Yarrowia lipolytica: one gene and its partners. The protein of the gene in region 1 interacts with the protein of each later gene in a biochemical or structural test. Links are inferred from orthologs where the notes say so. Each region holds a gene or a part of one and is shown in the gene's direction. Other genes may lie near its edges.

What was found.
Region 2: the proteins of YALI1_D25851g (region 1) and YALI1_F32546g form a complex in vitro, tested with the Saccharomyces cerevisiae proteins (2 studies listed by BioGRID). The link is inferred for Yarrowia lipolytica from reciprocal best matches to the Saccharomyces cerevisiae genes SLY1 and BET1.
Region 3: the proteins of YALI1_D25851g (region 1) and YALI1_E06119g form a complex in vitro, tested with the Saccharomyces cerevisiae proteins (2 studies listed by BioGRID). The link is inferred for Yarrowia lipolytica from reciprocal best matches to the Saccharomyces cerevisiae genes SLY1 and SFT1.

The regions. Positions count from the first base shown.
Region 1 is NC_090773.1:2,582,895-2,587,244, reverse strand, and holds YALI1_D25851g (uncharacterized protein), read left to right. Parts: upstream 1-2,025; coding exon 2,026-2,071; intron 2,072-2,117; coding exon 2,118-3,844; downstream 3,845-4,350. Other genes in the region: YALI1_D25856g (uncharacterized protein), read right to left, coding at 1,205-1,678; YALI1_D25831g (uncharacterized protein), read left to right, coding at 4,037-4,072, 4,139-4,309. UniProt on the Saccharomyces cerevisiae protein: Able to suppress the functional loss of YPT1. SLY1 is essential for cell viability. May interact indirectly, or directly with YPT1.
Region 2 is NC_090775.1:3,253,547-3,256,443, reverse strand, and holds YALI1_F32546g (uncharacterized protein), read left to right. Parts: upstream 1-1,757; coding exon 1,758-1,768; intron 1,769-1,820; coding exon 1,821-2,289; downstream 2,290-2,897. Other genes in the region: YALI1_F32554g (uncharacterized protein), read right to left, coding at 582-980; YALI1_F32534g (uncharacterized protein), read right to left, coding at 2,425-2,897. UniProt on the Saccharomyces cerevisiae protein: SNARE required for targeting and fusion of ER-derived transport vesicles with the Golgi complex.
Region 3 is NC_090774.1:609,967-613,437, forward strand, and holds YALI1_E06119g (uncharacterized protein), read left to right. Parts: upstream 1-2,011; coding exon 2,012-2,143; intron 2,144-2,738; coding exon 2,739-2,888; downstream 2,889-3,471. Other genes in the region: YALI1_E06109g (uncharacterized protein), read right to left, coding at 1-1,021; YALI1_E06137g (uncharacterized protein), read right to left, coding at 3,046-3,471. UniProt on the Saccharomyces cerevisiae protein: Vesicle SNARE required for retrograde transport within the Golgi complex.

The DNA.
Region 1 (4,350 bases):
ACTCATATCATGATCTGCGTTTGATATCTCATTCCCAAACACCGTTGGCTGAGGCGGCGCCCTGGTTTCGGCCACCTCGATCCAAGACCAGTCTCAAACACGCACAATACACGTCATCCTACACCCCTTGTCGTCCACATTCGCCCTGAGCAATGCTAGTGGTACAAGACTTGGCCCCTCCAAGCCATGTCTGGGACCTGTCTGAGCGGGTAAAAATAGCAAAATGTCTCCCGTTTACGTTTCTGGGATGATCCAAAGTCTACGCTAAGAGTAAATAAAGCAATTAAGCGGGCAGTAGGGCGGCGGCGGTGGCTTCGGACCTAGCCCTACTCCCTGGTGCTACTTGCACGTTTGAGCATACCCCATGCACCCCATATCCGCGTTTATCGCTACTTGTACGCTAGTGGCCATGACGTAAACATGTGGAGCGGCCTGCTTCTGGGCCCATTGTCCACGTACGCTTAGATTTCGTTTAGACATAGTCCTTTTTTCCGGCTAAACTAGCGCCTTTCTGCAAGCCTTGGTAGGCAATGGGTCACGCGCCGGGAGAACCATAGCACCAGAGAAACGAGTGTTCGCATTCGCACTCCACCGCCACCCTTGATTACCTTTACGCCGTTTTAATAGCAAGGGTTTAAAGATCCGGGGGAGCTTGGCGGGGAGTTGAGGAAAGGGTGGAAGGAGAGACGTTCATTTACCGCTAGTGATCCATGACGGCTTTTGATGCGGCTCATGGTGACAGTTGTGTTGGAGAGATAGAACGGGTCCGTGGAATACGGGTACCTGTACATGCATCCATATCGTGGATCGCGCTGCTTTTCGAACGTATCGTGGATATCACGTCGCTACTTGCAGTGCCAGCTCACGACCCCGAGTCCATCTTCAAGCATATAGGCTCCTTCGGTGGTTCAGATGGCCCTTCTTCAGATGATCCCCTCAGAGGCTGATGTGGCTGCAGTGTTGTTGCGGACACTGTTGCGGACACTGTTGCCCCGGCTTGATCCCTTTAGAGCTGGTAGACCCCTGTCAAGGGTCAGTCTTAGTGGGACTGGAAGGAGTATCAGTCTCACTGGTTAACTGTACTGGCTAGACCCCGGAAAGGGATGGCTGTGTGCTTGTGGTTCATTGGGTGCGGTGTGGTGTCTACAACTCGTGTTGCCAGACCTGGACAAGGGCATTTGTGAATGTGACGGTACTCGTAGGTTCACCAGAGATGGTGTCGAACGACACATGATGAGAGTGGAAGCTCCTTGGATGCCATCGACATCACGTGAACCTGTCTGATCGTCCATCGCTGGTTTGTAGGACGCGTTTGAAGGTTCCGACTTGACGTTGTTGGTATGATGCACGAGTACAGGCGATTGTAAGGTGGTCGAGCGTGTTTTAATGTACAGGTGGAAGTAATTGTACTTGTATCAGGGCCTCTTGCAGCTCGTCTTGTGTTGTTCGCATCAAATGACACTCGTCTTGTACAGTACAGTCTCCATGACTTGCTCCAGATTATGTATCCAAAACAGGGGTTGTATACTTGCAGAGTACAAGCACAGGCATACGTATGTACAAGCCTCTTTATATCTTTAAGAGTACAAGTAAACGTACTCGCACTTGTACTTGCACCGGCGAGATGTATGGTCGCAGAAAACCTGTCGGCAGCCCTCCGTCCTCCACATACGAACATGACTGACTTGCATCTTTCACCTGTTCAGCAAGTTTCATACTGCACTAGTCCAAATAGGTAAATCACCTTGGCCTCCTATTTGGGACAGGGTAAGGGCGTCCAGAAGAGGACACCAGTGAAATTACATAATACAAGCTGCAGTACTTGTCCGATACGACCTGTCTCGAAACAGCCGTTTGGAGCAGCGCATTTCTTGCCCGATCAATTCCCTGACCACTCTCACTCTTCCCCAACACGGTGCTTTTTCCCCATTCTGGTCACATGACTGACACGCTCCACCTAACCTTATCTCCAAAGACCACGACATACGCATCTCTCCTTCAGAGGAGTTTCGGAAGTCTAGCCCAATGAACAACAGCACTTTGCCCGAGTCGTTTCGAGACAAGCAGATTGGTGAGTATCACGTGACTAACCGACAATGATTCGCTGACTAACACAGCCGCGATCACGCGTGTTCTCTCTGGAGAAAATGGGAGTGCCAACAAAAGCCAGGCTTGGAAGGTGCTGGTCTTCGACAAGTTTGGCCGAGATGTGATTTCGTCGGTGATGCGAGTCAACGACCTGTTCCAGAACGGAGTCACCATCCACATGTTGCTGGATTCCGATCGGTACGCTATTGACGTTCCGGTGGTGTACTTTGTGCGACCTACATCCGACAACCTTCAAAAGATCACGCGAGACCTGCATTCCCAGCTCTACGAATCCGCGTCCGTCAACTTCGTGTCTCCTCTTCCCCGTCAGCTGCTGGAGACCTTTGCAGCCGACAACGTGGCCACAGCCTCTCAGATTACTCAGGTCTACGACCACTACCTCAACTACGTTGTTTCCGAGGCCAACCTCTTCTCTCTGGCCTTGCCTAACATCTACTCTGAGCTGGCATCCCCCAAGATGGACGAGGACTCGCTCAATGCCATCGTCGACCAGATTGTGTCTGGTCTGTTCTCTGTGGTTGTCACCCAGGGTGAAATTCCCATCATTCGATGTCCCAGAGGAAACGCCGCCGAGATGGTCGCCCAGAAACTCGACTCCAAGCTCAGAGACCACGTCAACAACCTCAAACTGACCACCAACCCTCTCTCGCGACCGGTGCTCATGATTCTTGACCGAAACATTGATCTCGCGTCCATGCTCCAGCACTCGTCCAACTACATGGGACTGGTTCACGACGTGTTTGAGTCCGAAAGAGGCCAGATCCGAATCGCCAAAGACAATGGCACCACCGAGTCGTACGATGTGGCGCCCTCCGACTTTTTCTGGAACCAAAACTCGCTTCTTTCTTTCCCCGAGGTGGCGGAGTCTATGGACAATGAAGTCAATAAGTACAAGGAGGAGTACAGCCAGATCACTGGAGGCGCCAACATCAACGATATGGACACAGATGCATCCCCCACGCATCTCAAGAAGGCTATCTCGGCCATCCCCAAACTCACGGCTCGAAAAGCCGTCATCGATATGCATATGAACATTGCCACTGCTCTGGTGGACCGAATCAAGAAGAGACAGCTGGATATTTTGTTTGAGGCCGAGGACGGGCTGGACAAGCAGGCTCTCTTGCCTCTGCTCAAGAACGAAGAGCTGTCTGGCACGGACAAGCTGAGAGCCTATATTTGTGTCTACCTATCCGGCACTCTCTCGGCTGCCGAACAGAAGGAGTACGAGGGTATTCTTAGCACACAGGGAGTGGACATGGCTGCGCTCAACTACGTCAAGCGGCTCAAGGACCTGTCCAAAATGATGGCGCTGAAGTCGTCAGCTGCTTCTGCACAGGAGCCCCAGACGTCGGAGCAATCGTTCCGAAACTTTGCCTCCAAGCTGTCGTCCGGCAAGATTGGCAACCTCATTTCCAACGTCAAGTCGTATCTGCCACAAAACAAGGATATGCCCGTGACCCGAATTGTGTCCGGCATTGTGTCTCCTTCCGAGTCTGGCGACATTACCGACGACTATTTATATTTCGACCCGTCGGTGCGTGGCTCCAGCACAAAGCCGCCCCGAAAACAGGCGTACAACGAGGCCATTGTGTTTGTGGTTGGAGGTGCCAACTACGCTGAGTACGCCAATCTGATGGACTACGGTGTTAAGGCAGGAAAAAAGGTGGTTTACGGAGGAACAGATGTGGTCAAACCCGATGTGTTTTTGGGAGAGCTGGCCTCACTCACCAAGTAGGAGCGCAAGTAGGAGCCAGAGAGATTGGCTAGGGGTTGTACTTTATGCCACTCCTTTGCACGTAATAATGTAATAGAAAGGATATACTATTGGATCTTGCAAGGGTGGATACTTGACCGTATCCCCCTTTACTCAAGAGGCGGATCTGGTTCACCGACCGAGCAAGGACTGTTGTATGTAAGTAGAGCTCCCATGATCACGCACTACTTGTACATTTTTGTACACATAGTTACCTACAGTTCGGCTACATCATAAAAAATACATTATAATGTCTTGCCATAGCCATAACAACAGCAACGGTGGGGGCAATATCAACCATTGTTCTCCGTAACAGCAATATCAACCATTGTTCTCCGTAACATCATTAATTCGGTCCAAACCACCGTTCTCGATGTCGTGCTTAGATGTAGTCTTTTAGCGCCACCCCTAGATGGTAGTCACGGATGTGGAGCAGCGATGGCTTAAGCAAAGATCAACTTGTGCTTGTGGTCTGGGGTTGGGCAAAT
Region 2 (2,897 bases), on another chromosome or scaffold:
AGAATATTGACTATCGAGCAAAGATGAATCAAATGGGCGTCAGAGATTGAGTGTCAGTGCTTGTGTCGATATATATGTATACAATATTCTTAGATTGATTTCATACCAATTTCTTTGGCTCAGGTTCTTTCTCATACTAGCCGGTTCTACTCCACAAGTACTGGCACACTGTTTCTGTCCCAGCTTGCCTTTATCAGAGAACACGCTTCGACTGACCGATCGAGAGTCATGCAATGATATTAAATTTTATTCTAGTTCAGTTGTCCTCTGGTGCAATGATCACAAGTGTGGGCTATGGGCGCGGTAGCACCTGTGTTCCTAGGGGGGTGCTGTAGGTGCAGTAGGTGCTGTCGATCACAACTGATGAACGTGCTTACACTGTGTGTACCGGGTCGACTGTCATTTTATCAAGTACAGGACAGTACTTGTAGTTGTACCATAGTCAACCGCAGAAATAACAGCTCAGACTCGTCGTAAAGAGTCTGGTGATAGTCCCACTGCAGGCACACGAATCGACGGGTGTCACAAGGCTCTTTTTCAACCACTCCCACACCTCCACACAATCCAACACCCATAATCAATTACCAAACACGGCAAAGCTTGACTCCCTCAAGAACGTCGTCGTAGTCGTCCTGACTGACTCGGCCGATGGACACAAACACAGTTCGCACCTCTGTGGGCGAGTCCTTGACTACCTGGGACGCCACCTGGACAGCTATGATCTGACCCAATGTGTCAGCATTGGAGCCTCCAATTAGCGACATGGGAGTGAGATGAGTGAGTGGCAGATTGCTGATGTCTTCGCCTTCGTCGTCATATTCGGTATGTGCAAAGAACTGATTGCCTGGAGATAGTCTTAGGGGAACATAGTATGATCTAGTGTATGCTCCTTTGCTGTGGATATTGACGAAGATCTTGTCGTTGAATGCATAGGTGACAATGTCTAGATCTTTGATAGTCGTGTGTTTTGAAGGGATCATTGTATGAATGTTTCTTTTCTGTCAGATTGTGAATGTTACCTACTTGTAGCAAGATGTGTTCGTTGATAATGGACCAGAACTCTATTCACGAACTACAATTACGAGTAATGGCGCGAGGCATCTACCTGCTGTACTACTGTGAAGTAGTTTTGAAGGACCGAAGACCTACAGTTATGTTATTATAATAATAAAAAATAGAGACTATGGAGTAACAGACTATTCATAGTATTGTGCGAATGAGAAACTTCTTCTAACTCTGATCTATGTAATATTTCGAAATATAATCAACCAATCTGCCGAAATAGCCACGGTCAGTCTACAGTAAAATATACGGCATACTCACTCTTGAAGTGCTGCTTAATCAATACCACAAACACCACTATAGACATGTCACCCTGCTCTCCACCCATCACCCACTCCTTCTATGCCTCTGAGTCGGCCTCAGTTCATATCGACTATCGACACAACGCACTCATTTTTTTCATGCAGTAAGCAGGAATGAGGTGTTCTACAGTGGACACAGCAAACAAACTAAATAGCTCCGGAGAAATGATATTCTGACAATTGAAAAACATGACTCAAAAATATTGACGTGTCAAAACAACTACAATGTCTCATTTTTTTCAACGACTCTTATCGCCACCGAAATAATGACCACGAGGTGGGCTCAACGAAACCTTATTTGGCTAACATGGGAACCAAATCGTGTCTTTATTTTGCGTGTTCATGTGCATGAGGTTTGTGAAAGTCTAAGAACCTCAGCACCAACAAACAGCAATGACCTCAAGGTGAGTACCTATTGCGATGAAGGCTCTCTTCCGTGCACAGCAACTAACTCAGACATCAACTCTTTGCCTCCTCGGCACAATACGGATCACCAGCCTCCAGCCAGGCTTCTTCTCGAATCAACACCCCTCAACCTCCACAGCCGTACGCCGGGTCGTCTTCGTCCTTTGGAGAGGCCAAGCCCTACGTTCCCGAGCAGGAGGAGTACGATCCTAAAAGCCACAAGCAGTACTCGACGTCGATGCTGTCGCAGTTGGAGTCCCAGAACGACGAGCAAATGGAGGGTCTGTCTGCTAAGGTGCAGCTGCTGAAGGACGTGACCAGCAAGATCGGAGTGGAGATCCGGGACTCCAGCCACCTGCTCAACAACCTGGAGGACACTTTTGAAAATGCATCCACGAAACTCAAGGGCACCTTCAAGCGAATGATGATCATGGCCGACAACAGCGGTATTGGCTGGAGAGTCTGGCTCGGTCTCTTCGCCTTCATTTTCCTGTGTTTCTTCTTTGTTTGGGTGAGATGATTGTGGAGGACTGCTTTCTGGTTGGGCCAGCCAGTATTTAGGACTTATTTATGTATTGATAGACTGCACTGTATGTATACAACGAGACACTGTATCGTATTGATTTCTACACATTATAACTTATCTGAATGGTCGCTACCACTCACAAGACTTCGCCAGAATCAAGGCAATCTTCTCCAGTCCCTGCTGGTCCACCTCGTCGAATCCCTCTAGACTGGCACAGTCAATATCAATGACACCGAAGAGCTTACCGTTCAACACAATGGGAACTACAATCTCGCTCTTGGTGACTCCGTCGCATGCAATGTGCCCGGGAAACTCCTCCACATTCTTGACCAGTTGGGTCTTCTGCTCCTTGGCAGCAACTCCACACACTCCCTTGCCCAGAGGGATCTCCTGACATGCAACCTGACCATGGAAAGGTCCCAAAATCAGCTGTTCAGACTTCTTAGGATCAATCACGTAGAAGCCGGCCCAGTTGATGTCGCTGGATGGCTCGGGGAGCGATTTGAGACCGTGCCAGATGATCGACGAGGCATTGGAAAGATTAGCCACCCAATTGGTCTGACCATCAACTAGAGCTTCCACATTGGAGGCCATGGTGTCGT
Region 3 (3,471 bases), on another chromosome or scaffold:
TCTCAAAGTCGACAAAGCCGACTCGGTTTCGGTTAACCTCATTGAGAGAAAGCATAAACGAAGTACCGTAGGAGTTCGACTTGAGAATGGCGCCGTACTCGGAGTTGGCCTTTCCGTTGACGGTAACATGCAGGAAAATGGCGTGGGTGGTAGATTGCAGAACGGTGTAGGCCAGCTGTTTGGGGACCTTAAAGTCCGGAGGGAATCGAGCCACGGAAAAGGACTCACCGTCCACGGATGTCTGGCACTCGAGAGTCTCGTCCTCGTCATTGATGACGGCAACAACGAGGAACTCCTCAGCAAGAGCGAAATCAAGCACGTTCTCGTGGGTCACTCTTTGGTTTCGGAAGTTGTCAGTAGAATAAGCCAGTCGGGACTTCTTGACGCCACCCTCGTTGTACTCAAACAGACAGTACATGAGGTTGTTTCGCTTCTGATCCTTGAGTCCGTTAACGTACTGGCACATGATGGCTCCGTTGCCGACCTCGGTCCATCGGCCTCCGTTGTTGTTGGTGTAGTGAGTGACCACCTTACATCGAGGGGACAGCTCGTCTTCACAGCCTTCGGATCCGGTCCAGATGAAAGCGTCCTTGTTGTTTCGGTCAAAAGTCATCAATTGCAGGCCTCGCTGGTTCGGGGGAGCAGGTGTTCGGAACGACTTGAATGACTCGCCCTTATCAATGGTGAAAAAGACCTTCTCGTCGGGGGTCAAAAAGTAAACTCGGTTCTTGAAGTGGGGGTTGGGGTAGATGGCAATGATGTCCTCGCCCTTGAGCACCTGCTTGAAGGTCTTGCCCTGGTTGTAAGTGACATAGAGATCGTTTTTGGAGGTTCGCAACAGCACCACCTCGGCGTCGTCGGGAGACGCATTGGTCATATCGTTGGTGAGATAGTAGTGCTCAACAATGAGTCCCGAAAACTCGTTGATGGTGGAGCTGATTTTTGTGCTGAGGTCATCGTCAGCCTGCGCAAATAACGCCAGCGACGCCACGAGCACCAGTAGCCGTGTCAATAATCTCATTGTGTGGGTGTGGTGAGTGTGGTGAGTGTGGATGTATTATGCGTTGTCCCTGTGCGTCTACTGGAGATAGCTAAAAGGGTTCGATAAGTGGCTGTGTTCACGTGACCAACTGAAATTAAGCGGGTGTGAGCAACAGAATGTGATGATAGTGTGTAATCAAAGCAAAGAAAATGAGCTGATGTGAGATGGAGCTGTCGTCAAAATCCAGCTCAAACGTTTTAAATTCACTGTCGCTTCGCGTGGCGCTCGCTAAGGTGTATCGTCTTGCTAATGTCGTGTTCAGTGTGTGCCAAAACGGTAGAATTGTAGATCACTGGGGACAGCCGCCTATAAATGATTTCCAAAAAAGTGAAAAAAAACGTTTTCAAGGGCTCGGACCGGTGAAAAATTTACACTCTTTTTGTGTTTGGAATTGGGGTGGCTAGCCACGGACGGGGGTAGACACGCCCTGTGATTGGATAGCAAAGTCTTGGCTTTTTATCAGATGCGCATGCGTCTCTCATGGGCCATATAGAGGGACGTTTAGCAGGTGCTAGTGGATGAAAATGTAACGTATTCAGGTGCGGATTCGTCTTTGGTGGTCTCAAAACTCCCATCCCAACCTCGATCGCTATCCGAAACCGCCGTTTTTGCCACCCCAGGCTCCTCCCATCTAATGGTGTGGTGGCAATTATGCACACTCATCAGATAAATGTCTCTTTAGAATTCCGCCAAGCGCATGTTCTGCAGCGCTAACAATGTACTACAGGTGGCACTGGCGACCTCCGAAACTAAGGCTTCTTTCCTAAATCGAAAACCTCGGATTCGTCCCTATTATTGATGACTAAAGTAGTTGCACTCGGATGAGTAATCACCGAGACAAGTCTCACACTATCATGTTCGTATTTGGCCTCCCCCCGCTTATTCCGCACTAACCTTGTTGCGATCGCCTGCTCCTTTTGGCAGCGCCCGAACTGTATATGCCGAAACCTAACACACAACACACACACAATGTCAGCATACCAGCGAGAAGAGCAAAACAACACTCGGCTCGAGGAGCTGGCGTCGAAAATCTCGTCTTTGCGGTCTGTCACCAATGACATCCACGCTCAGGCTAGCGATTATTCGCTTATTGATTCCACGGTGAGTATGACGGAGAGTGGTGGTCCATGAGGTTGTCATGCGGAGACGCACACAGAGAGAGTGATAGAGAGAGGAGAATGGTGCTAGAAGTCGAGGAAGTACCCAAAAGATGTGGCGATGATTCCTTGATTCTGATCATATTCACGACGTGCCATGGTAGTTGATTATCTTGTTGAACTGGAGGGATCACATGCTCACGGGCACGCGAGATTATAAAGTATGTTTTCTCAGCAGGCTGAAGAAGACCGAGCACGACATTTCATGATCCGAACGGCTTGAATACTTGATCTGAATGAAGCTCTGCCTTCATCTGGCGGGTCTGGTCTCACTATCTTTGTTCTATTGGCTTGTTTTACGAACACCTCTGACTTAGGGGTGATCTAAGAGTACGAACTTGGATACTGGCATTCTCTCGATCTGCTGGTTTCATCTATGGTATTATTATGTGTCTAGGACGTCCTCAGCTGGCTTCAACTCCTTTTTCCTGTATCGTGGAGCAGGGGAACCTCAAAGGAATGCAGTACCGGGGCGATTGTACCCTTCCTAGACATTTCACCCAGTCCAAAACCTCACTTCTTTTACCCTACTAACCCAGACGGACACTGTTGGAAACATGATGACCTCGGTCCGAGGGTCTGCTTCCAAGCTTGGACGGTCGCTCAAGGCCGGACACCCCATCTGGCGAACTGTTGGCATTGCTCTGGCCATCATTCTCCTGCTGTGGTTTCTGTTCAAGTTTTTTTAATGCATGAGGAGAGTAGAAGTACTGGTAGTACCATGAGCGCGTTCGGCGCTGTGTTTATAACTAAGAAGATTGATCGTAACACCACAGTACCGATACCCACGTACTGATCTCATAATACGCAAAGCCTTATCCTATATAAACAGAGAGCGCTGTTTACTTACTCTCGTCCTCCACCAACGTTAATATCCTTACCCAGCCGGTAGTTGGAGATGGATTTGCCCCAGTTGATCTTAGATCGAGTCACGGGCAGCTGTCGTCGCAGGGCCTTAAACGAATCCTCGTTTAGACCGTTAAATGACTTGTTGAGCTTCTCCTGGAACTGCTGCTCGGCTTTGGAGATGGCGTCCACAATGTCAGATTCGGACACAGAACCAAGGTCCACCTTCTCGCTGGACTTGAGACGGACATTTCCGTCCTCGTAGTAATGCACATCCACGTCGATTGTTCCGCTCAGAGAGCCACTCTCGAAGATGTACACAGACCGCCACTTTCCGTTCCAGTAGTTGGCAGGGTTATACTTGCCATCCACAAGCACAAGGGCGATAGATCCGTCATCCTGAGGAAAAACCCCAGCAGCCCCCTC